2 linked regions of the Drosophila melanogaster genome follow. The protein of the gene in region 1 interacts with the protein of each later gene in a biochemical or structural test. Each region holds a gene or a part of one and is shown on either strand. Other genes may lie near its edges. The genes, in order: Acf and Iswi.

What was found.
Region 2: the proteins of Acf (region 1) and Iswi form a complex in vitro, tested with the Drosophila melanogaster proteins (3 studies listed by BioGRID).

The regions. Positions count from the first base shown.
Region 1 is NT_033777.3:31,792,385-31,800,092, forward strand, and holds Acf (ATP-dependent chromatin assembly factor large subunit), read left to right. Parts: upstream 1-1,596; 5' UTR 1,597-1,983; coding exon 1,984-2,105; intron 2,106-2,597; coding exon 2,598-3,828; intron 3,829-3,886; coding exon 3,887-6,249; intron 6,250-6,308; coding exon 6,309-6,484; intron 6,485-6,550; coding exon 6,551-6,989; intron 6,990-7,054; coding exon 7,055-7,154; 3' UTR 7,155-7,415; downstream 7,416-7,708. Other genes in the region: Mccc1 (Methylcrotonoyl-CoA carboxylase 1), read right to left, coding at 1-266, 321-1,086, 1,194-1,234.
Region 2 is NT_033778.4:12,635,007-12,651,108, forward strand, and holds Iswi (imitation SWI), read left to right. Parts: upstream 1-1,664; 5' UTR 1,665-1,775; exon of another isoform or gene 1,776-1,837; 5' UTR 1,838-1,936; coding exon 1,937-1,984; intron 1,985-2,047; coding exon 2,048-2,265; intron 2,266-2,332; coding exon 2,333-2,587; intron 2,588-2,648; coding exon 2,649-4,764; intron 4,765-4,823; coding exon 4,824-4,984; intron 4,985-5,045; coding exon 5,046-5,331; 3' UTR 5,332-5,622; downstream 5,623-16,102. Other genes in the region: Mvk (mevalonate kinase), read right to left, coding at 1-420; CG33672 (uncharacterized protein), read right to left, coding at 818-1,078; CG8785 (uncharacterized protein), read right to left, coding at 6,017-6,977, 7,034-7,155, 8,147-8,378, 8,871-8,980.

The sequences.
Region 1 (7,708 bases):
CCACGCCGCGTAATCTCAGATTGCTTCAGGGGTAATGGCTCACCGGCGGCAATGCGAATCTGCCATTCAACCAAATCGGTGCCCGTAATCATTTCCGTTATAGGATGCTCCACCTGCAGGCGGGTATTCATTTCCATGAAGTGGAAAGAGAGATCTTCTTTGTCTAGAATGAACTCCACGGTGCCAGCTCCTACGTAGCCCACAGCTTTCGCTGCACGAACAGCAGCCTCGCCCAGCTCACGACGCAAATCTTCCGACAAACCTGGCTGTTGTATAAATGAGCATTATTTTTAAAATAGCCGAAGCTCTTGTGCACTTACAGCTGGCGCCTCTTCAATAATCTTTTGATGACGTCTTTGCACGGAGCAATCTCTTTCCCACAGATAGACAGCATCACCATACTGATCCGCAAATACTTGAACCTCTACGTGGCGTGGAGATCGGACGTACCGCTCCAGAAGCACAGAGCTGTCGCCAAACGACTTCTCGGACTCGGTGCGAGCTGAGTTCAGAGCGGTGAGGAAGTCGTCCGGTTTTTCTGCGATTCTCATGCCTTTGCCTCCGCCGCCGCGGACGGCTTTAATCATCAAGGGAAAGCCAATTTTGTCGGCTTCTCGCTGCAAACACTCATCTGACTGATCATCGCCATGGTATCCATTGATGATCGGCACCCCAGCAGCGGCCATTATGGCCTTGCTGGTGCTCTTAATCCCCATGTCCCGGATGGCGGAACTGGGCGGACCCATGAAGATGATGCCCTCACGCTGGCACAACTCGGCAAACTCGACGGACTCGGAGAGGAAGCCGTAGCCTGGGTGGATGGCCTGGGCGCCCGAACGCTTGGCTATGTCCAGGATGCGTTCACCGCGAAGATAGGAAGCCGAGGAGGCAGCTTCCCCCACGCGGTACGACTCGTCTGCCAACTGCGTGTGCATGCTCTTCTCGTCCGGATCCGAGAACACGGCCACGGTACGAACTCCCAGCTTGCGTGCGGTTCGAATCACCCTGCATGCGATCTCACCACGATTTGAAATAAGGATCTTGCTGATAGGCCGAACTTTTGGGCTGGCTTCTGTTGCAAAGCACCTGCGTCAAGCCAAAACAAATTAGCAAGGTTTATGTAATCGTCAAGAACGAAATTAAGTCTTTTGATTTAGCGGCCTTAACAAAGAACTGCCGATCATTTCCCTCACCTGGCGTTTGCGCCGAAGTTTCGCAGCAGTCTGGCGTACATTATTAGTAGAATTAATTGTAAGAATAAATAACAAATATACTTTATTCAGAGCAAGTGTGCGATCGTCGCTTATCACAGCTGGAAAAACGCACACGCACAAGATCGCAATTGAGATGGGCGACTCACGAGATGCATGGTTGAAAATATTAATGTTTCATATATCTTTTGGGGATTATCATATATCATCAATATCTTTTAGGGAAATTGATATTACGTATATTGTGTTTTTTTTAAGTTGCAACCCATAAAAAATATTACCGTTATATTATTCTGGACTATTTATCGAACTGTTGACATCCATCCGACCGCGTCCTTACGGTTTTCTGCGCTCGTGAAGTTCGGTAACATTGTTCGCAGAAACTCGATAACCGATAGTTTAACGTCGAAGAGCGATAGGCCCCAAAATATGCGCGTGAAAATAGATTGTGCGCTATAAAATAAACGGATTTAGGTAGTTGGTGTTGAGGAAGCCAGCCACAAACATAGTAGAAATTGTCGGAAAAGTGTCGCCCGCCGACAGCTTGTATAATTGCGTCGGAAGTCAACGCGCGTATCGCTGGAAAACCGTTTGCATCGAAAGCCCCTCCGGAAAGGCGTGAAAAGTTGGGCGCCTTTTGCGCTTGTCGCTTGGCGTTGTAAAATTTATCAGTTGCTCCGCGGTTGTTTTTATTGTGAACTGTTAAACGTGCACTTCGAAGGACTGCCATTTAAACTTAAGGACATTCAAGAGCAAAAGGAAAACACCAAACATGCCCATTTGCAAGCGGGAAGGATTCGACCTGAATCAGAAGGAGGGCAAGAACGAAACATTCCACGACAACGACCAGGTCTTCTGCTGCTACATCACTAAGCGCATTTTTCGCGACTATGAGTAAGTGCATCCTGCTACCATTCCTGCAACTGCCCCTTCCCTTCTCCTGCCATTAGGTGGACGCTGCGCTAAAGTATACAACAAAAGCGACGCTGCAAAAGCATTTGCACACGATGTACCGTACATCACCATTCAGTGTGTGTGTGTGTGTGTTCGCAGGGGTGCATAAGTGTGCGAGTCTCGTGGGCCAAAGGCGAAAAAAACGCTGTTCGGTGGCGGGAAGAAATTACAGCTGCCGCCGCACAGCTGCTCGCCGCGGAGTTGCCACCTGGTGCCAAAGCGCGCGCTCTTGAATTTGGAATTTGTTGACCCAATTCGACTTATATGATCCTTCTAGATATTTTTAAGATCAGCAATTATTTAAGAGGCTGGGTAGCGCGAAACTATTTTAATAAATAGCAAACATACTAAATATGTTTTACTCTGACAAGCTTCAATTATATCAAAATAAATTGACCTTAAAACGCTGATCGATTAAATTTATTTATCCAGACACTACTTCCGGCACGTGATGGTGATCAACTCAACGGTGTGGCAGTGCGAGGCCACCGGCAAGGAGAACCTCACCTACGAGGAGGCGGTCAAAAGTGAGCGGGCGGCTCGCAAGAAGATGGAGCAGTTCAAACAGAGCCTTCGGGCACCCGTCCTTCTGGTTGTGGAGCACGCCCAACAGTCGGCGGTCAACACCTTGAACATGATAGTGGCCAAGTTTCTGCGCAAGCGCTACTTTATCGGCGAGGAGGTGTCGGTGCAAGCTAAGAAGAACGCCACGTACACGGTGTTGGGTGTCAAGTTGGACAAAAATATGCCGGAACCACTCAATGGTATCTATGAGGACACGGACAACCTGGTCTACAGACTACGACCAAACAAGGGCGATCCCAGTGCAGAGCTTGATCTGCCCTTTAGGCAATTACGTCGCTCGCGCATGGAGTTTAACCTGGAAAACCTGAGTATGTTTATAAAGAGCAATGTATCGCGGGTGGATGGACTTCTTCGACCCAAGCCAGAGGCATACAAGCAGTACGTGACGGACCCTGGCGTAAACTTCTCCACAATTTTCATTGGCAAAATGCCACGTTATTCTCCCGCTAAGATTAAAAAACCTGACGGCAAGAAGCAATCCACTCTCAACAAATATATTGTCGCCGGTGAAGCAACGGCTGCAAAGTCAAAGGCGAAGGCCAAGTCTGATGCTAAATCTCTGGCAGAGGAATTGGAGCGGGTTAAGCGAGAAAAAGAGGCCAAGCTTATTGAGTTGGAAAAACAAAAGGCGGAAAAGAAGGCACAGTTGATTGAACGCGTTGAAAACGAATGTAATTTACTGCTTCAAAAGACGGACGACCTGGAGAGAACCGACCAAAAAGTCCTGCCCCGCTACAGACAGATCGTCACATTGCTGCCTGAGCACCTCCTGGGTGATGCCTTCATGATGCGCGAGTTTATGCACACTTACACAGGATTGCTGTCCGGCATCGAGGTGTTCCGTCAGAACCTCAGTTTCTACGAGATGACACGTGCACTGACTGCTCGTGAGATTGCGGGCCCACTATCGGACATCCTCCTCGTTCTGCTTGGCACTGTTTTCGATCTGCAAAAAGAAGAGGAGGAGGAATGCGCAGTGACCTACCTCGATCGGGCTGCACAAACTCAGGAGCCCTATTGGAGTATGGCGCAGGCCGCCAAAAGTCACCTTTACGCCAAGAGGCACTTTTCCTTTAAGGTCAATACTTTGTTTGTGCCGACGTGTGTTATCTAAACTAATTTTATTTTCCCAATAGGTAAATGAACTACCATTAGATGCACTGACTCTCAGTGAAGTGCTACGACTGCATCTACTTGGATCCGGAGCTTTTGTAAATGAAAAGGCGGAGCGCTGGAGAGTCATGTACCGGAATGGCTACTCGTCAAAAGAAGACCCTGGTCTGGAACTACGTCTGGAACACTCGCACATCCTGCGCATTCTCAAAAATCATTCCGTATATCAGCTAAAGTTTAAGGATATAATGCTCCTGATTCGCTGCCTGATGTCCCAAATTATGACATACTCGGGCACGATTAACTTGATTGAGGAGCGTATGGAGCAAACAGCAAAGGCCAGGCAAGATCTACGAGCTCTAGTTGTCGGGGAAAATAAGAGATTAGCCGCCGTAGAGATAAACAGGAAAAAACTCACGCAAATGCACCACCTGGAGGTAAATGGCGTTGAGCCTGAAAAGAGGGAAGCGTTGGTCGAGAAATTAAAGAAGAGTATTGCCGAGCTACACGCCCAATCGGATCAGCAACATCGCAAGCACGAGTTGCAGATGCTTAAGTTGCATTCGCAGCTTTTCAATTTTTTGGTTTACTTGGGCATGGATAGGTGCTACAGGAAATATTACGTTTTGGAGTCTATGCCTGGGATCTTTGTCGAGCATTCGCCGGACAGCCTTGACACTTGTTTGGAGCAACCAATAACAAATAAGTCCCAAATAGAAATTCGTCAGCAGTCTGCATTGCCAAAGAATCGCAAGGACCTAAGGGTATATCTACTCAAACTCTACGGAGACGACGAAAAGAAAACTAAGAAAAAGGCCAAGCACTCTCTAGAGAACAAGGAGAACCAAGAGCATCGCCTTAACGGCAGTGCAGAACCCATGGATGTCGAATCTGATTCTCCAGAGGCTCCCACTCATTTTGAGCTCTTGATGTGCAGTGGTGACAAACGATCTTGTATTGTGCATGATTCAAGAAATGGGCAACGGCAGCGTTGGGCATATATTTACAAAGCCGAGGAGATCGATGAATTAATTAAGGCTCTCAATCCCAATGGTCTCCGTGAATATGAACTCCTTCAAGAGCTATCCGTTCTGCGTTCCTTAATCGAACAGCATGCTAAGACCTGCCCAGTAGACTTGCTAAGTCTAGAAAACGAAACAATGCGCAAGAAGTTTATGGCGGCGATGGAATCTGAAACTAACCGTAAATACGGAGAAGCAAACTTTGGGTTACCGAATGGGACCGATCTAAACGAAGTGATGCGCTTGCATTTAGTGGATCGAATTATTCAATTTGAAAATGATATTTACACTGGTGATCTCGGCCGCCTGAAAGTTAAGGATATGGAAAAGTGGCGAAGTGACTTGCTTGGAGGCAATTACGACGCTCAGTGCAAGTTGCAGTGGGGCCCGGGTGGCAAGTTGGAAGATGAAGCTGGTTCTGACAACGAATCCCACGAAACTCACGAGGAGGACGATGGCGCACTATTAGGTAAATATGCCAGGAAACCATATCGCGATCCTGGCATGTATTTGGCAGCTTCTGCAGACACAAAACCCCTACCAGACAGCGACGATGAGGAGGATCAGCATACGAATGCCGTCTCGATTCCTATCGCCGTGCATAACATGGCCTCGGCCCTTCTGCAAGTGGAGCAGGCTATTGGAAAACGGTTTCTGAAGGAACCCTACGGCATGAAGAAGTGGGACCCCAAGCAGGAGGCTTTAAAACTTGCCTGCGACTCGCGTTTGCACCAGTGGGAAGTTTCGCTAATGGAAAGTACAAGCTTTGCTCAAGTCTTTCTGCACCTAAACATCTTGCACGACTGTATTCAGTGGAGGCGTTCCACCAATAAGTCATTATGCAAGGTCTGCAGGCGTGGCAGCGATCCGGAGAAGATGCTGCTGTGCGATGAATGCAACGCTGGCACTCACATGTTCTGCCTGAAGCCTAAGCTGAGGTCTGTACCCCCGGGCAACTGGTATTGCAATGATTGCGTAAAGAGTCTGGGTCTCAGCAATGGTCAAAACGAAAAGGATAAAAAGCAGGCGACAAAGAAGAAACGCAAGTTTATCGTAGAAGAGGAGGATGATGAAGCTACAGACGAAGAAGAGGAAGAGAAAAAGGATGACGATATGACCGATGAGGATGCGGAGCACGAGAACGAAAAACACGATGAGGACGTTGAGGACGACGAAAGTGTGACCTCTACCCCCTCATCTTCCAGAGTCAATGGGCGAATTTTAAGGCGACCCCGCACACGGCCAACAAGCAGAAGACTTACTTCGAAAGAGATCGAAGAACATGCTCAGGAAGACGTTGACAGCGGAGACGTCAGCGATGACGCATCCTTAACCGCCGGTGAAGATACGATCGAAGACGAGTCGTAAGTTAAAAACTGGATTGAAAATTAAATTTAGATAATGAACCCATTGCAATCCACAGAGATGAGGAAAAGGTGTGTCAGAAGTGTTTCTACGATGGCGGTGAAATCAAATGTGTGCAATGCAGGCTATTCTTTCACCTGGAATGTGTTCACCTCAAGCGACCGCCTCGCACAGATTTCGTTTGTAAAACCTGCAAGCCGATGCCACAACGACCTAGGCGCCGGCACAGTAACAGTAAGTCCACAAATTTCTCCTTAATGAATAGCTCACTAATAGCCCGTGTGATTTCTGTCCAACAAGTGAATGGTGATCATGACCGCGATGAGGAGGAGCCAAAAGCAAAGCGACCACGTAACTCTTTGCGCCTATCTATCGACAAGACCGCCCGCCCAAGCAACGGCAACAACAACAACAATAATAACAACAGCAGCGTCAATAACAACAACCATCGCAGAAGCGGGCGTCGGACGAACGAGCACATGCCGTTGAACAGTGCCGCCTTGTACGATCTGCTTGAGCAGATCATGAAGCACAAGGCCGCTTGGCCGTTTCTGCGACCAGTGCTGACATCGGAGGTTCCCGACTACCATCAGATCATCAAAACGCCCATGGATCTAGCTAAAATCAAATCCAAGCTAAACATGGGCGCCTACCAGCTAAACGAGGAGCTGCTCAGCGACATTCAGTTGGTGTTTAGAAACTGCGATTTGTACAACGTAGAAGGCAACGAAATATACGAGTGAGTAGATTGGGATAATCCGTAAGTGGTCTTGTTGTTTATCCTTTATCTTGAATCCGTTGCAGCGCTGGTTGTCAACTAGAACGATTCGTGATCGATCGATGTAGGGACATGCAGCTACCGTTTAGGCCTAGCGATATGAACGGGGAAGTCAAAGCTTGCTGAGCCGGACGCTGATCTCCACCAGCTATCGTGTAAATTAGTTAGTCTACTCTAAGCCGTAGTTGAAAACCATATATATTTAAGCACAAATATTAAGTGTATTTAAAGATCTTTATTTTCGTGCATGTCAGTTCTAAGTTCAGCACACGCATATGCAAAAAATCCTTATCTGTTGGTTTATGAGACTTTATGTATTTATAAATTATTGTAGACACTACGAAAATTCCACAATCAATAAATGAAGTGACCGGAAACAAACGATTCAAAATAAATAAGTAAAAAAAATTGTTTTGTTGGAGGTGTAAAAAGCTAAAATTAAATGAATACAAATTTTAAAAGAGCTTAGCTCTGTATAAACGCAGGAAAAATGGGTAGATGGAGTTTGCCAGTTTTTAAAACAGACGATTTGATCGCAAAAAAAAAAATATTGCTTAAAGAACCTAATTTGCCAAATTCTTTCTTAATCGAGAAAAAAGTGTTGGATGCTGCATTGTTATTATTACTTTTTATGAAATCTAAGCTATGTGTGTTTCACTGGACATTAAAAGTAAGAGTGA
Region 2 (16,102 bases), on another chromosome or scaffold:
CTGGAAACCGGTTTGCAGCGTCAGTTTCTTGTCGCCGGGTGCGGAGAGTACAGCGCCGGCCAGCAAATAGTATATGGAGATGAATGCCCGCTGGGTGTGCTGCTTCGGTGCATTGCCTCCGGATCGTTCAAGTTGTTTGGACACCTCTGCGCGGACGGCTTCCAACAGATTGGCCGTGCTATCTGATGGGTATTTACTCCTAAATTCAGCCAAAAATCCATTGAACTCCGGCAACTGGATCTCCAGTGTGCAGTTAAGGGCCTCCAGTTGAAAACTTGCCACCTGGCTGTCCTCCAGCTGCCGAAATCTCAGAGTAGTGCCCAAACCCACTACGGCGGCGAGGGCGGGACGATGATAGACCACGGCGTGTTCGCCATGGAGTATGACCTTGCCCGGAGAATGGACCTGGAACTTGAGCATTGTTCTTGATGATCTCCGTGTATTGTGTGTTCTGTATTCCGTTTGGCTATGGCTTTATCGGTTTATCAGCTGTTTCGAATTGTAATGCTAATGCCTTTCGAGTGGACGACCTGCGACAAGTAGTTAAACTTTTATGGCTGTATTTCTTTATGTAACTTATGCATTTAGTGGATCATTTGCGTTGTTTATTCGGTAACTCCTATTTCTGGCTGCCGATTCCTGTGCTTTCCCTTTCACTTTCTTTGTGCGACTGGCGTTTTTCGGCTTGTTCGTCTCTTCGATCGGAAAGCGCAACCATCAGCAAAACGAACAACAGGTTTTTGCGGCTAGTGTTTGCTGTTGTTGTATCGCTCGTGTATATGTATGTGTGTTGTTGGTTTTTTTTTATTCGGTACTACTATTGGGCTTTCACTTTCTCCCACTCTTCGGGTGTGTAGGATTTCTGGGAGAATGCATGGATTTCTTTCAGTTCTTCGGCAAGCGTTGAGTTAACTAATCTATGCTTCTGGAGAAGGGTCTTGCCGCTGAAGGCTGGCGATACGATTACGGCGCTGAACTTGCCGCCACAGCCGTCTGATTCGTCCGTAACACTCACGTACTCCGTCTGCAGTTCCCGTTTGAGCTTCTCCTCGAGGTACTTTGAGTCGTATTTACTCATTTTGGATGGTTTTTTTTTCAAACGAAACGAGGTGATGGAGTGGTTGTGTGACCGTATTGGGCTTCAGGCAAAAACAGGTTTTCCATAAGCCGGGTGGTAGTTTTTCTATCTGCGCTGACCTTGGCCACACCTAGCACCATTTTAAATGTTCTTTTTCGGGGGGTTTCTTGCGATATATCTATTAAATACTTTAATATGGGGGTTGTCTAAGTAATTTAACAGATTTTGTCTTTGTTCATATAGTTTGGGGCAGCCATTCAAGTCTAAAACGATGTAGTACATATTGTCATATTTAGATTCAGTTTCCACCACAGGGCTTATTTCTAAAATATTATGAGACCCCATTAGACTTTTCGATTCCTGCTATATTCCATCATCTCAAACTTAAACATTAGGCAATAATTTTTAAACAAACGCAAACAATTTAAAAAGATAACCTATTTGATTAATCAGAATAACGGCTTTGTCTAAAACTAATAATAACGGCACACGGCCAGTGCTGCCATTCATAGTAATCCATCAAAACTATCGATAGTTCGTATTCTCGATTTGTTTGCCGCCACCGTCGCTGCCGCAGCCAACTTCGCGCATTCATCGCATAATCTAGCGATAGCACGCGCAGATTTCCCACCATTCATTAAAAAAAATCGCATGTAATTATTTACAATTTGTTTAAGCGAAACAAACATTGTTTTGTGTAAATTGCCTTTTATTTATATACTGAAAGTATAACTAACAGGTTGCACACTCGATTTTCAGTTCACATTAAACGACACCAGTGTGCAGCACGCTTGATTGGCGAGGGGAAATTTGTGGAAAAATTAAGTTCATTTAGAGACAGACGCCGGCATTGCAAATATGTCCAAAACAGATACAGCTGCCGTGGAGGCAACCGAAGAGAACTCGGTAAGTTAATATACAGCAGGCTTTGTCTAAGGACTTCTATACATATATTCTGAACTCTGCCAGAACGAGACGACTTCAGATGCGGCCACCAGTTCATCCGGTGAAAAGGAGGCTGAGTTCGACAACAAAATCGAGGCTGATCGCAGTAGGCGCTTTGATTTCCTGCTAAAGCAGACGGAGATATTCACCCACTTCATGACTAACAGCGCTAAGAGTCCCACGAAGCCTAAGGGTAGACCCAAGAAGATCAAAGACAAGGACAAGGAAAAGGATGTGGCCGAGTGAGTTAAACTCCCCCTATAAAAAAGCCAACTACTTTATCTATTGGTGTACTTTTGTATTAAACAGTCATCGTCATCGCAAGACAGAGCAGGAGGAGGATGAGGAGTTGCTGGCGGAAGACTCGGCCACCAAGGAGATCTTTCGCTTCGATGCCTCACCCGCCTACATCAAAAGTGGAGAGATGCGTGACTACCAGATTCGCGGTCTTAACTGGATGATTTCGCTTTACGAAAATGGTATCAATGGAATTCTGGCCGATGAAATGGGTCTAGGAAAGACCCTGCAGACCATATCTCTGCTGGGTTACCTCAAGCATTTCAAGTGAGTTTTCATAAACATCTATTGTTTTAAAGAAATCTCTAAATACCATATTTGCGTGCAGAAATCAAGCTGGACCACACATCGTCATCGTGCCAAAGTCAACGCTTCAGAATTGGGTAAATGAGTTTAAAAAGTGGTGTCCTTCCCTCAGAGCCGTCTGCCTTATTGGTGACCAGGACACCCGTAACACCTTCATTAGAGATGTGCTCATGCCTGGCGAGTGGGACGTTTGCGTGACCTCCTATGAGATGTGTATCCGCGAGAAGTCTGTATTCAAGAAGTTCAACTGGCGCTATTTGGTCATCGACGAGGCGCATCGTATCAAGAACGAGAAGTCGAAGCTGTCGGAGATTCTGCGAGAGTTTAAGACCGCTAATCGTCTACTTATCACGGGTACTCCGCTGCAGAATAACCTCCACGAGCTGTGGGCCCTGCTTAATTTCCTGCTGCCCGATGTGTTTAATTCGTCAGAGGATTTTGACGAATGGTTCAACACGAACACCTGCCTGGGTGACGATGCATTGATTACGCGTTTGCATGCCGTGCTGAAACCTTTCCTGCTCCGTCGTCTAAAGGCCGAAGTGGAGAAGCGTCTGAAGCCGAAGAAGGAGATGAAAATATTTGTGGGTCTATCCAAGATGCAACGCGACTGGTACACCAAGGTGCTGCTTAAGGACATTGATGTAGTGAACGGTGCTGGCAAAGTGGAGAAGATGCGACTGCAGAACATCCTTATGCAGCTCCGCAAGTGCACCAACCACCCATATTTGTTTGATGGCGCCGAGCCCGGTCCGCCATACACCACGGACACGCATTTGGTGTATAACTCCGGAAAGATGGCTATTCTGGACAAGCTGCTGCCCAAGCTCCAAGAGCAGGGATCGCGTGTGTTGATTTTCTCACAAATGACGAGGATGTTGGATATCCTCGAGGACTACTGTCACTGGCGCAACTACAACTATTGCCGCCTGGATGGTCAGACGCCGCACGAAGATCGTAACAGGCAGATTCAGGAATTTAACATGGACAACAGCGCCAAGTTTCTCTTCATGTTGTCCACCCGAGCCGGTGGTTTGGGTATCAATTTGGCTACCGCTGATGTTGTCATCATTTACGACTCGGATTGGAATCCTCAAATGGATTTGCAAGCTATGGATCGTGCTCATCGTATTGGTCAAAAGAAGCAAGTGCGCGTTTTCCGGCTGATCACCGAAAGTACAGTGGAGGAGAAGATCGTGGAGAGAGCAGAGGTCAAGCTCCGTCTGGACAAGATGGTCATCCAGGGGGGCAGATTGGTTGACAACCGCTCCAATCAGTTGAACAAGGATGAAATGCTTAATATAATCCGTTTTGGAGCTAACCAAGTGTTCAGCTCTAAGGAGACAGACATTACCGATGAGGACATCGATGTTATTTTGGAGCGCGGTGAGGCCAAGACGGCCGAGCAAAAGGCAGCACTGGACAGTCTGGGCGAGAGTTCGCTGCGGACGTTCACAATGGACACAAACGGCGAGGCAGGAACTTCTTCCGTATATCAATTCGAGGGTGAGGATTGGCGCGAGAAGCAAAAGCTAAATGCGCTGGGCAACTGGATCGAGCCACCGAAGCGTGAACGCAAAGCCAACTATGCTGTGGATGCCTATTTCCGCGAGGCTCTCCGTGTCTCCGAACCCAAGGCACCGAAGGCTCCCCGCCCACCCAAGCAGCCTATCGTTCAGGACTTTCAGTTCTTCCCACCCCGTCTGTTTGAGCTGCTCGACCAGGAAATCTACTATTTCCGCAAGACTGTTGGTTACAAGGTGCCCAAGAACACGGAACTAGGATCGGATGCCACCAAAGTGCAGCGCGAGGAGCAGCGCAAGATCGATGAGGCAGAGCCGCTTACCGAGGAAGAGATCCAGGAGAAGGAGAATCTACTCTCACAGGGTTTCACTGCCTGGACCAAGCGCGATTTCAACCAGTTCATCAAGGCTAACGAAAAGTACGGTCGGGATGATATTGACAACATTGCCAAGGACGTGGAGGGCAAGACTCCGGAGGAGGTTATCGAGTACAACGCCGTGTTTTGGGAGCGATGCACTGAGTTGCAGGATATTGAGCGAATAATGGGACAGATTGAGCGTGGAGAGGGCAAGATTCAACGGCGATTGTCTATTAAGAAGGCTTTGGATCAAAAGGTAGTTAGCATTGTTTCTGTAGAGTATCTTTAATATATATGAATATATTTTTGTTGTAGATGTCGCGGTATCGCGCCCCCTTCCATCAGTTGCGGCTGCAATATGGTAATAACAAGGGCAAGAATTACACTGAAATAGAGGATCGCTTTCTGGTATGCATGCTTCACAAGTTGGGCTTTGACAAGGAGAATGTCTACGAAGAGCTGCGAGCGGCTATAAGGTGAGCAAAAACTTGGTTTTAAATATGAGTAAACCCCTTATACATTTCCGTTCTCTTACAGAGCTTCTCCGCAATTCCGCTTTGACTGGTTCATCAAATCTAGAACCGCTTTGGAGCTACAGCGTCGCTGCAACACGTTGATTACCCTTATTGAACGTGAAAACATTGAGCTGGAAGAGAAAGAACGCGCCGAGAAAAAGAAAAAGGCACCAAAGGGCAGCGTGTCCGCTGGAAGTGGAAGTGCCAGCTCGAACACTCCAGCACCCGCGCCCCAACCGAAGGCCAGTCAAAAGCGGAAGAGCGAGGTGGTGGCAACCAGTTCCAACTCGAAAAAGAAGAAGAAGTAAAGCGACAAAGCAAACAGATATTTTTCTGAGATTCGGCTCTACACTCAGCACTAGGCAGTTAAATAGTTAAGACAAGCGATTACTTAAACATATTTTACTCTATATAGTTAATAGTTCATATCTCACGCCGGAAGCAATATCACACCAACCCCACCCCCAAAATCTGAAGTTTTTTTAAACACCCGCCTACACATCCGACTACATTACTATTGCGTGCCGCTGTATTCTATTCCAAATAATTGTATTGTGTTCTAAGACTATAATCATTATATTTATATAAATCAACACAGCATACAGATTGTTTCACTTTATATTCAGAGGTGGATTCCCCGTAAGTAAAAGGCGACATATTGAATGTTTTGGTACTGTTCGCTTTATGTTTTGGAATGCTGAGCAACTTAACGTAATAACATATATAAATTCTATGAATTGCTGCTTAGTTTGTGTAACAGGGCACTTAAACTTAATATCATCTTGTTCATGCAGTCAACGGCATCGGCAATTTGGCATCCGAGCCGCTTGACCATGTTCAACATGGCCATAAGTTGGGTCTGATGTGAATGTGGGCTTCGCCTGCTTTTTGAACTCATACTTGTCTTTCATCGCGCTTCCATTGTTGGAGCTACCTGCATCTAGTGTAATACTACGTCTCTGTTTGAAGGTTGAACCCATACATATCGAATCCTTAGTCGTCGTCGCTATACATTTCGATGATCTCGTTGATGCTGGCGACGGCACCAGCAACCAGGGCAAGAATGGAGAACACGCCCAGGAAGATGTTCTTGACCAGCTTCCACTTGCACACGCCCAGGCGGTCGGGCCACAGATAGACGGTCTCCACGAAACTGGGCACAAAGATGCCCAGCAGCGAGAAGAACACGGCACCCACCAGACTGATGAAGGGTTCCAGGTTGGGGATAGCAGCAGCTACACCACCGCTAAGCAGGATAATGCCGCTGCGCAGCAGAATCTGTGTAATATTGTGCTTCTCGGGACTGAACTTGTGACTGATCTTGCGCCAGAGGATCTCGTTGGGCACATAGAACTGCAGGCCAAAGGTGAACAGGATGGCCACGGCCATCAGGAGCTTGGCCGTATCGCCCAGCCAGGCGCCTTCCGGCAGATTCAGCGTGATGCTGCCTCGCACCTGGTCGCCAAATCGCACATATCCAAAGAATCCGATGATGGCATAGAGCGAGACCACAGTGACCATAGCAATGTTAAGCACGCCGGGGCATCCCAAGAAATGCTGGGGCTTCCTCATCGAGTTTTCCACGGGCATCACAACACCGATGCCCTCCATCGCAAAGATCACGGTGGCGAAAAAGAGTGGAATATGGGCAGCCTTGGCGATCAGTGGCTTGTCGGAGTAAACCAGCGGCTCGTCGAACATGTAATACAGCGTGATCGCGAATGTGACCACAATGAAGATGTTGGCCATCATGGAGAATGGCACCAGCCACTTCAGGTCACGGATCTGACCGATAAGCAGACAGGGGATCACGGTTAGGGCAATGTAAATACGCACATCCCAGTTGATCTTCAAATCATAGTTAATGACATCGTGGAAGGATGTCGCAATAAATACGATATATACACATGCCGCAGCATAGTAGGTGGCCATCAGTCCGATATCCACAAATTGCCTGGAGATTTTTAAATAGATTAGCATTAGGGATCATCTCCTGTAAGCTTTACTCACTTGGCGAAATTCGAGTAGGGTCGCATTCCCTTGGGTCCGTACTCGAAGACCTTCTCAGCTGTCTCAGCAAATCCCAGAGCCGAAACCTTGGCATCCCTGCAAATGTCATGCGAAGTTTTAACCTGCAAGAATGAATAAAAAATGTTGGAACGTCGTTAGTTAATAGGATTCATTAAAGCATTGAAAAAGGTGATTTATAATATAGACAGCAATTTATTGAACTCTAAGCTTCTACTCCATTAATCAAATAGAAATTTATTGCAGTTTAAACAAATAGGCTAAGGTTATCACTAAGTTTTAAGTCTAAATAAATAATACTACTTCAAAATTAAGATATAGTATTAATCTTAGAGACTTGACTTCCACTTTAGAGATAATCTAAAGCTTATGAGGATGCAGTTTATTATTCCCTAAGCGGAAAGCGATTATAAAGTATTACGTCATCATATGTTAATTGTAAATCAAATGAAGTTGAAGTGAGGAAGTAGCCGGCTTATCAAATTAAGAACATTTTTAACTAGGAATATATATCAAAAAATAGTAAATCTAAATGATCGCAGCTAAGCACTTGAGAAGTTCCAAAATGACTGTCAAAATCCAAATGCCATAAATCTGCTAACTCGAGTGGCTAAATTATAGAGTACGCTAGCATTTTTTATTTATAACCAATGGATGATCGGTGACTTGGACTTTCCGAGAAACATTTGCTTGATTTACGCAATGTTTTGGCACGCGATCCCTGATGTCTGGAAATTTGGAGTGCAGCTAATTCTGGGAAATTACGTTTTTAGGGATTCGCGAGGATCGGAAATGGAAGTCGTAAAGCTACAACAATCGCACATTGTATCTTCGGCGATAAGAACAAGTGGGACTGGACTTGGTTTTTGAGACACGTGCAACGATTGGACTGGCCGTTGCAGTACGCTTATCTGGGCACTAGGTACGATTGATTCATTGGCTCCATTGATTGGGCACCTTGAACTACTTAAGACTCAGGGAACTACATACGTCAGCCGTGGATTATGCGGCTCACCTGGTCTGGCTGCTGTCTGTCGTAAATTGCTTGAGTCAACAACGAAAATCAGGTGCTAAATTTGTGGCCACTTAGCTTACCAATATATGCACGCAATGGGTGCAGAGGAATCCAACGATCAGCGTCATGGCCATTCCAAAGGCCAGACCGGCATTGTGGAATGCCATGGGCATGGCCAGAATGCCCGTGCCCAAGGAACTCTTGAGCAAGTGCGCCAAAGCGCCGCCGGCACTGGCTCCATTGGGATCGCGGTGCTCGAAGGGATGGTAGGGATCATCCGTGAGGGAAAGCTCTTTTTCCGTCAAGTTGGCTCTGCGAAAAAAAAAGGTGAGAAAGTATTAACTATGCATTCTATCAAACATATATCTATATTTATATTTTTTCCAGAAATGTATTAAATTCACATCCATTTCTATGGTGTTAAATAATTTTATATTCATTTACTGTGAAAGAATTTGAAAACTTTATTAATTTTATGTCCTGTTTTCCTTTTTACATATTTCCTTCATTATACCTTATTTAAAAGGACAATGATAAGCTTGTTATAAAATTGTTATCTGAATTAAACTTAAGAGTCTCGAACAATAAACATAAAATCAAAAATTACTTATTTAAATTTACTATATAGAACGGGAATAATGTTGTTTTATCATCTATTAAGTTATCCATTAATGATATTTGTTAAATGAAAGGAGGACCATTTGTACGTTTTAGGGACTTTCAAATGTAAGTAAAGTTTAAAAAAAAATAACTTAATATGGGTCAAATTCAATCAAATGCGAACATAAAGCTGGGCGTACTCACTTCGAGTTGAAGTCATTAATTGCGTTGGTGTATGGAGGCGGGTTCTCGACTGTTGGCGCCGATGGCAGGGATTCCTGTCCATCGGGGGTAAATCCCTTGTTATCTGCCATCTGGAAGCGTAAATAATCGTGGATCGATTGGTGTTTAATGAAATTAGCACACTTGATTGATCGGCCCCACACGAACGGGCTTTATCGGCGAAAGGAAGCACGAGATTCGCTTGCGTTGGCCATTTAAGGCTTGGGTTGATCCGTTCAAGGGTTGCTAGGCACAAGCCAGGCGTATCTTATCGTCTCTTGGAAACATTCGAGTATTAGAATTGCCTTAGCAAAGAGATTTCTGGCACTGGCCGATCGTTATCGCAACTGGCTAAGAATGGAGCTGGGAGTGGGGTCGAGCAAATAAACAACAATGGCACTTCGTTCATAAAATGCAGCTTTATGGTGCCCTAAAAGCGCTTGTAATTCGGCCATATAATCGGACCCTAAATCAGCGTCCATATAGTAGTCACCACCTATTTTTCCTATTGAGCTGATTCATTCCTTTGGGAAATACTTGACGTTCTTTCGCGGCAGCTGATCCACTTCGAGCGTATTCTTTGAACCTAGATTAGCTTAATCTTCGATTTATTTGTATTTATGGCGCGCACCGTCTTCTTTAAAATTTATGAAACTTTTATTGTAGCACTATGAAAATACTAATGGTATTGAAGGCCACAAATTGGTTGACAATGGAATGTTTAACAACCAATAAACGAGGGGTCACATGCTTGAATTCTTAGCTAATCAAATTTGGTTAAAATTGAACTACTTAGTCTTAATCAAATGAATTAATTCATCCGTAATTAAATAAGATACTACTGTGATTACTATCTCCATTCGAATGGCATTCTTAACTTCGATCGATCATAAAGTCTTAGAGGAATGGAAAATTTTCCAAATTGTGCCAGTATCATTGTTTTCGATTTTTCCCGCAAAGTTAATGAAGTTTAACTTCAAGTTGGTAGAAATTATACAGAACAACACATCGTACTTAGTCATGCATTTTTGACGAAACGTTTAAATTAGTGTACAATATTTATAATTAAACAACAGGTTCTCTTTGCTTGAAAAACTCGTAATCCCTTGATTGGTTTCAAAGACGCGATAAGTATATACGTAACATCACGTTTCCGGCTACTTACATTTCAGCTAGGATATTCGGATCGAAAAAGTTATTCGGAGCAAAGGAGGACCGAACTCGTCCTCTGGCCAAAAGCAACTGAACGATCGGTTGGCCAGGCCAATGGGAAAGGTTTCTGGGCTCGGGGGCTACGGCGCCGAAAAGTGTCGGTAAGCGTCGAAATAATAATAATGTCCAGATATGATAACGACTTAAAGCAAGACAGGCTACAACAATCAATAAACAACAAATGCCCGCAGCATGCCACATTCACAGCCAATAGAAATAAATAAAAAAAAACCTGAAGCTGCCTTTAAAATCAATTATCAACTGATAACCACCTTATCGCGACCGAACCAAGCCGAAAAGAACCGAACCCATCGGGAATCCGAGAGACTAGAACTCAATCCAGTTAACTGATTTGCTGACCACGAGGGAATTGGAACTGAAATCAAGAGTGCTCTGCCTATCAATGATGTACTAGTTCATTGATTTAAGGCAGCTCGTTTCAAATGATAGTAATTAGCTATTATGCGAATCTATATCTATAGACCCTTGATGGCTAATTACGATCTAGGAAATCAAATAATTACGTTTAATGACCACTAATCGTGAAGGAACGCGTTATTATTATCAATATTATCTGTGTACCGATAAGATTAGCGGTCAGTAATACTTAGTATACCATAGCTTTAATTCTTATATAAAGAGAGCAACCCGTTGATTTGCGACTTGGAAGGCCCTAAATATCTTTTGATCGGACATTATTTGTTGTTTACCCAATACGATTGCCTTTTATGTGGGGCGCACAAATCGATAAATCGAAACGCTAAATCTTTATGATCGACTTCTAATTGGGTTCCAGTTACTGGGGGGCCCCATTTCATATCATCATATCAATCATATCGGGACATTCGGACATTGATTATTTTTCCTAGTCGATCCCAAAACTGTCGCCATATTCGCTTTATGGCCAATTACATTAATTAGTTACGCCATTTGAACTATAATTTAATAAAGGATCGCATCAAGTGCGTCATCGCAGTTCGTATGTATGTATTTAGTCTTCGATTTGGGTGTTAATTGGCCATTAAGAAAGATTTGGTGCCCTGGCACAGCAACTAACTTCTTGGGTTTTGGGGGTTTTCTCCTAATGAGCGAAACGGAACACGAAAGATTTGGATGCAAATGTTTACACAAACAATTATATTGAGATTTATACAATCTTAATTGAAAAATACTACGTCAAACGATAAAAGCCATGTGCGGTAGGTGCGGCTTTTCGGATGTTGACCTGAATTCGTTGGAGAATTTTCAAAAAAAGATGCTGTTTTGATCGAGCAGATTGCCCTGTGTATTATTCCTTCTCAGCAAGGTTTATGGCTTACAAAACACGACCTTTATCTCCGGTTTTGCCTTATCGAAGCTGTATACTCCAGTATTAACTGCATTATACCCTGACCTGCTTCCATAAGCAAACGGCCTTCCCATCTGTTGCATAAACCGCAAAAAACTGCGTACACCTGAAATGGGTGGGTATTTCGTGGCTATAGGAATTTCTCCCTGCCAATTCTCGAGCACCGCCTTAAGTACCTTTAATTGGATGCCGACTTTTTGAATGGCATTTCGAGTGGGATCTCTTTTGGGTCAATGCATTCCATTAAAGCCAAGACAGCCTTTTTGTTGCCGTTTTGTTACCAGTTTTCAGTTTTGTTTTGCTTCGTCTTTGTTTCGCTTTTTTGCTGCTTTTGTTTTGCTTGTGCGTTCGCTTCACGTGCCGCAAGAAGAGGCAGTGAGCAAAAGCGTTGACCGTCCTGACAGACTGTCAATATCATTCATTAGGCCCCAAAAACACTGAGAGAAATATCTGTAGCCCATTTTATAATAAATTTGAAGCTTATTGAATTATCACAGATCAGTTTAATTACTAAAGGAAGTAACAGTTAAGCAACAATTGCAAAGTAGTTTGCATTTTTTTGTAATGTTTTTTCAAGTTTTCTAAAACTAATTTCGAATATAAGATCATTAACTTTTAAACAGTTTCTTAAGTTAAAGTTATCCTAATTGGATCCTAATTTATTATCTGTTTATATAAATGTTTCCTAAATTTGCGTAACTTAAAAGATACAACTTCAACTTCACAAATTTCTTTCAGTACCCGGGGGAGTTGCGAGCTGGGAAAGGAGCCCAGTGTCAGGCGATCTCGCGTTGTAAGGTGGATTGGCTGGAAACTGCCTCCCACGACCTTATCGCACCCACTTTCGATATGCAAAACGTATGAGCCTGAGTGGCATAATTGATGGGACAGCTCGACAGCTTTGTAGTGCTGAACTTGCAGCTATCTATCTGATTATTCAACTTTCGGGCATTAACCATATTATATATTAACGATGATGTGATAATGTGCGGACTTGAAATGACAACTGTTTGGGCGGGTTGTCAAAAGGTGTTTTTTTTTTTGTTTATTTTTATTTCGAGAATCTGAATTAAACGCCCGGTTTATTGTACCGTGAGTAGTGGAACTGTAAGGTAGCCGTCAAGATAAAACTGAGCCAATAATCTTTTATGACATCCAATTTGACGCTTATCACCGCAACAAAAAAATAGGGGGCACAATGATTTTTCCCACTCACAATGGGCCAATTGAAACTAAATGGGGGTTCTCCGATCGAAGATTTCTAAGTTAAAGCCACTTCCTTTTATTGTCACATGCATCCGATAAATATGCCTGATAACTCATTTGATGTGCGGGCATTAATTATAAATAATTGGGGCACATTAACACGAAAAGCGCCGTGTAAACAAACAAATCATTTGCCCAAAGCACAATAATATTACCTTTTGGACCGATTTAGTTCGCTGCGAACTTTGATGCGAAATTATAGAGAAATTATATTAATTGCCCGATCCAATCGTTTCTCCTCGACATTGACGCCGAAAAAGTGAGTTTTTCACACAGTCGCGTTAATGACGGATGTGCTCGGCGGTGCGATTATAAGGCCAGAATTTGCAGTAGCAATCAACACTGTTTAACCATTTGCTTGTTTAATTATTTAATTTTTAACACCTGCTCGGGTGTTGCAAGGATTTACGAAATTCGCGCGCGCTCTCTTCGTTTTTGATTTTAATCCCTGATCGCTGACGATTTGTTGTTAACTGTCGGACGATCGCTTAGTGACTGATATTAAGCCAATGTTTGTGCTTTAATTTGTTGCTCCGGTGGCGTCGCCAGAGCGGCTATAAACCCGGCCAGACACACACAGAGATATTGTGCGTTTGTGTGTTCCCACATCCCAGCGAAGCTCGGAGACGAAGGCGTTTTGGCTTTGGTTCGTGCAATTAGCGCAATGGACAATAAACGTTACCGTGACGCAGGTGGGGCGAAGTCGGCCTCTCTCTCAAAAAGGTTAACAAATACATATATATGCGCTGTGGGTATGGGTGCTTTCTACAGATCACACAGCATTGGGCATCCGACGGCCAGACAAGTCTGCCTCGCTCCATTACTCATACGCCGTGTGGCCGCGGAGGAGGTGGAGGAGGATCGGTGTATTCGACGGATGAGGATAACTGGGTGCCCAGAGTGCAAGCGCAATATATTATGTTGTTAGGAGCGGGATTCTTATCTGCTGTATGTGGGTGCTACTTTGTCGAATTGGATTTGTTTGGCTTACGAACACATACTGCTTATCTGATTCCATTCCATTTCGGGAAAATTCCCAAGTCCCCGTCCAGAGTTTAGGCATACTTTTGGGGGCGATCGCCTCTACGCTGATTACTCTTAATTGTTAAGGAAATCGAATCACCCTGTATTCTTCACAGATAACGATATCTATCAATCAACTGCAGCAGCTAAGCTGCACAAAAAAGCTTAATGGAATATATGCTTTATAATGAAGTTCAGAACACAAGAACAATTGCACTTAAAGATCAATCTTTTGAAACTAAGAACTTTTACAAGTTCTGAGAAAGGAACTAGTGGTATTATTATTTTGTAATTAGCCAACAAAAGCCAATTATAGGAATTTAAGTGACTATTATTAGAATTATATCAAAAGTAATAACTTAATAATTTTATAAGTGTAATAAAGTTATAAGTCCCCGATAGGCAGCTCAAGAATGCGCGACACCATGCAGCTCTTTTTGAGCTCCATAGCCAATACCCCCCATTTTACAGTTGGCCCCCTCCTAACAATCACTTAGTGCTGCCTTGGAGGCTTTTCTTTTAGACGGAGCTTAGCGATTGACTTGTTTCAAGTAGCCAGCTCCCCTTGTTAGCTGGTTTTGTTGTCTAACCATAAAATATGAAAAAACGATCGGTTTTGTTTGCTTAGTTAGTTTGCGGCGTCAGTGGGACAGTGGAAAATTTTAAGCGGCACGGCAAATGCTGTAGACAAAATGCATTTTTCACGTGATGTGCATTCCGAATTCGACGAGTTCAAACAGAGTTGAGCCAAATCGATTGTGAGTTTGTCGCTGATTTATGGGGGCACTAAATCTGGAGGCAGTTTAGGGCCAATGGCGTAATTAAGTATTGGTTAGACAAGCGAGTTCGGGAATTGCGATTATATCTCAGGAGTTTATTGGATATAGTTGTGCCGGGCTGTGGATATTGTAAACGGCGTATCTTTAATTGCAGAACACCAATTGATAAAGTATGATGTACGAGCCGTGTTGTATTGTTTAACAAGGTTTTCTATTGACGCAAGACAACTGCACGTTGCGTATACGACATGTGGAAGCCTTGGAAGGCTGATGGACTGATAAGCTAAAAGGTTCTGCGATGAACGAGACCTGAAACCCTTTTGAAGCAGGTCAAGTACTTAGTCTATAGCCGCTGCAATATTGACACTACGATTCCTTATCGATGTGGAATTCGGAAAACATTTACTACCGCAGCTGTCTCTGTATTGACAATCTTCGTTGAGCCTGATAAAGTTGTACCGCCTTAATGGAGAACTATCGATTCTGAATGTGTCCTCTTAAGTGCTTAAGAAATTACCGGCTACCGGGGGGTGGGATTTCCCACTCATCTGATATACATTTTGGCCATTTTGCAGCCTTAAAACTGCGTGTCATCAATCTAATTAATTTTCAAGCGGCAGCTCAAGCACGAATTCAAATACCTGGAAAAAGTTAAATCAGAAAAATCCCCCTCGCTTGAAAAGATACTTAAGGCCTCTTGTCACCGGATTCCGCTTCCACTTCCCTGCCTCATTACAATGCGCATCGTATTGTACTGGCATTCATATATCTGACCAACTGATCGAGCTTGAGCAAATGGAAATTTAACGTACTCCCGTCGAGAAATTCACGCCCAAACCACATTGTGTGTGTGTGTGCTGATTATCGTTCATAATAACGAGTCAAAACAATAAATAATTGATTTGCTTCCGCAATTGTCTTCCGGATCTGCCTTCTCGTCATGTCTTGGGGTCAACTCGGTACGAAATGGACGCATCGAGCACTGAGTAATTAATTAATTGACTAATTAATATGCACACTGCGCAGCTTGCCGGTTGAGATTTTGGATTTAGATTCCTACATTTCGGATATACACAGCTTCTGCCAACGAAACTGACCTTGCCCGATGTCAAACACCCGCGACGCATTTTTATTTAACGGCCACAGGCGCGAAATTCGATCATGAATGGAGGTGAGATGGTGACGCAATTTAGATTCGCAACCAAAATCTGGGCTAGTGGGGGTGCGCGCTCCCAGTCATCCGCGTGACAACTTCCTTGACTAACCGGTTAAATCTTAAACGGCGGCTCCACAAAGTGAATTTATTTAGCGCCTGTTTTGTGTCTTGTTGCTCCAGGTGACAGAACCCAGTTGTTTGGGCAGGCCCCAAAAACACAATAAGTGTGGCGGGGCACGCCCTGTAATACAAATATTTGCAGCATGCAAATTACCTGTTTTACAAATGACAAACGAAGGCACACTCATCTGGTAATAAAAACTGCCACTTGTAGGTTGATTTGCCATGCAATCACACTCAGCTCGCATGACAATAGAAAGTTTCTAACTCTGGGATTCTCAAGAAATTCCGATTTCCGCATAGTTCGACG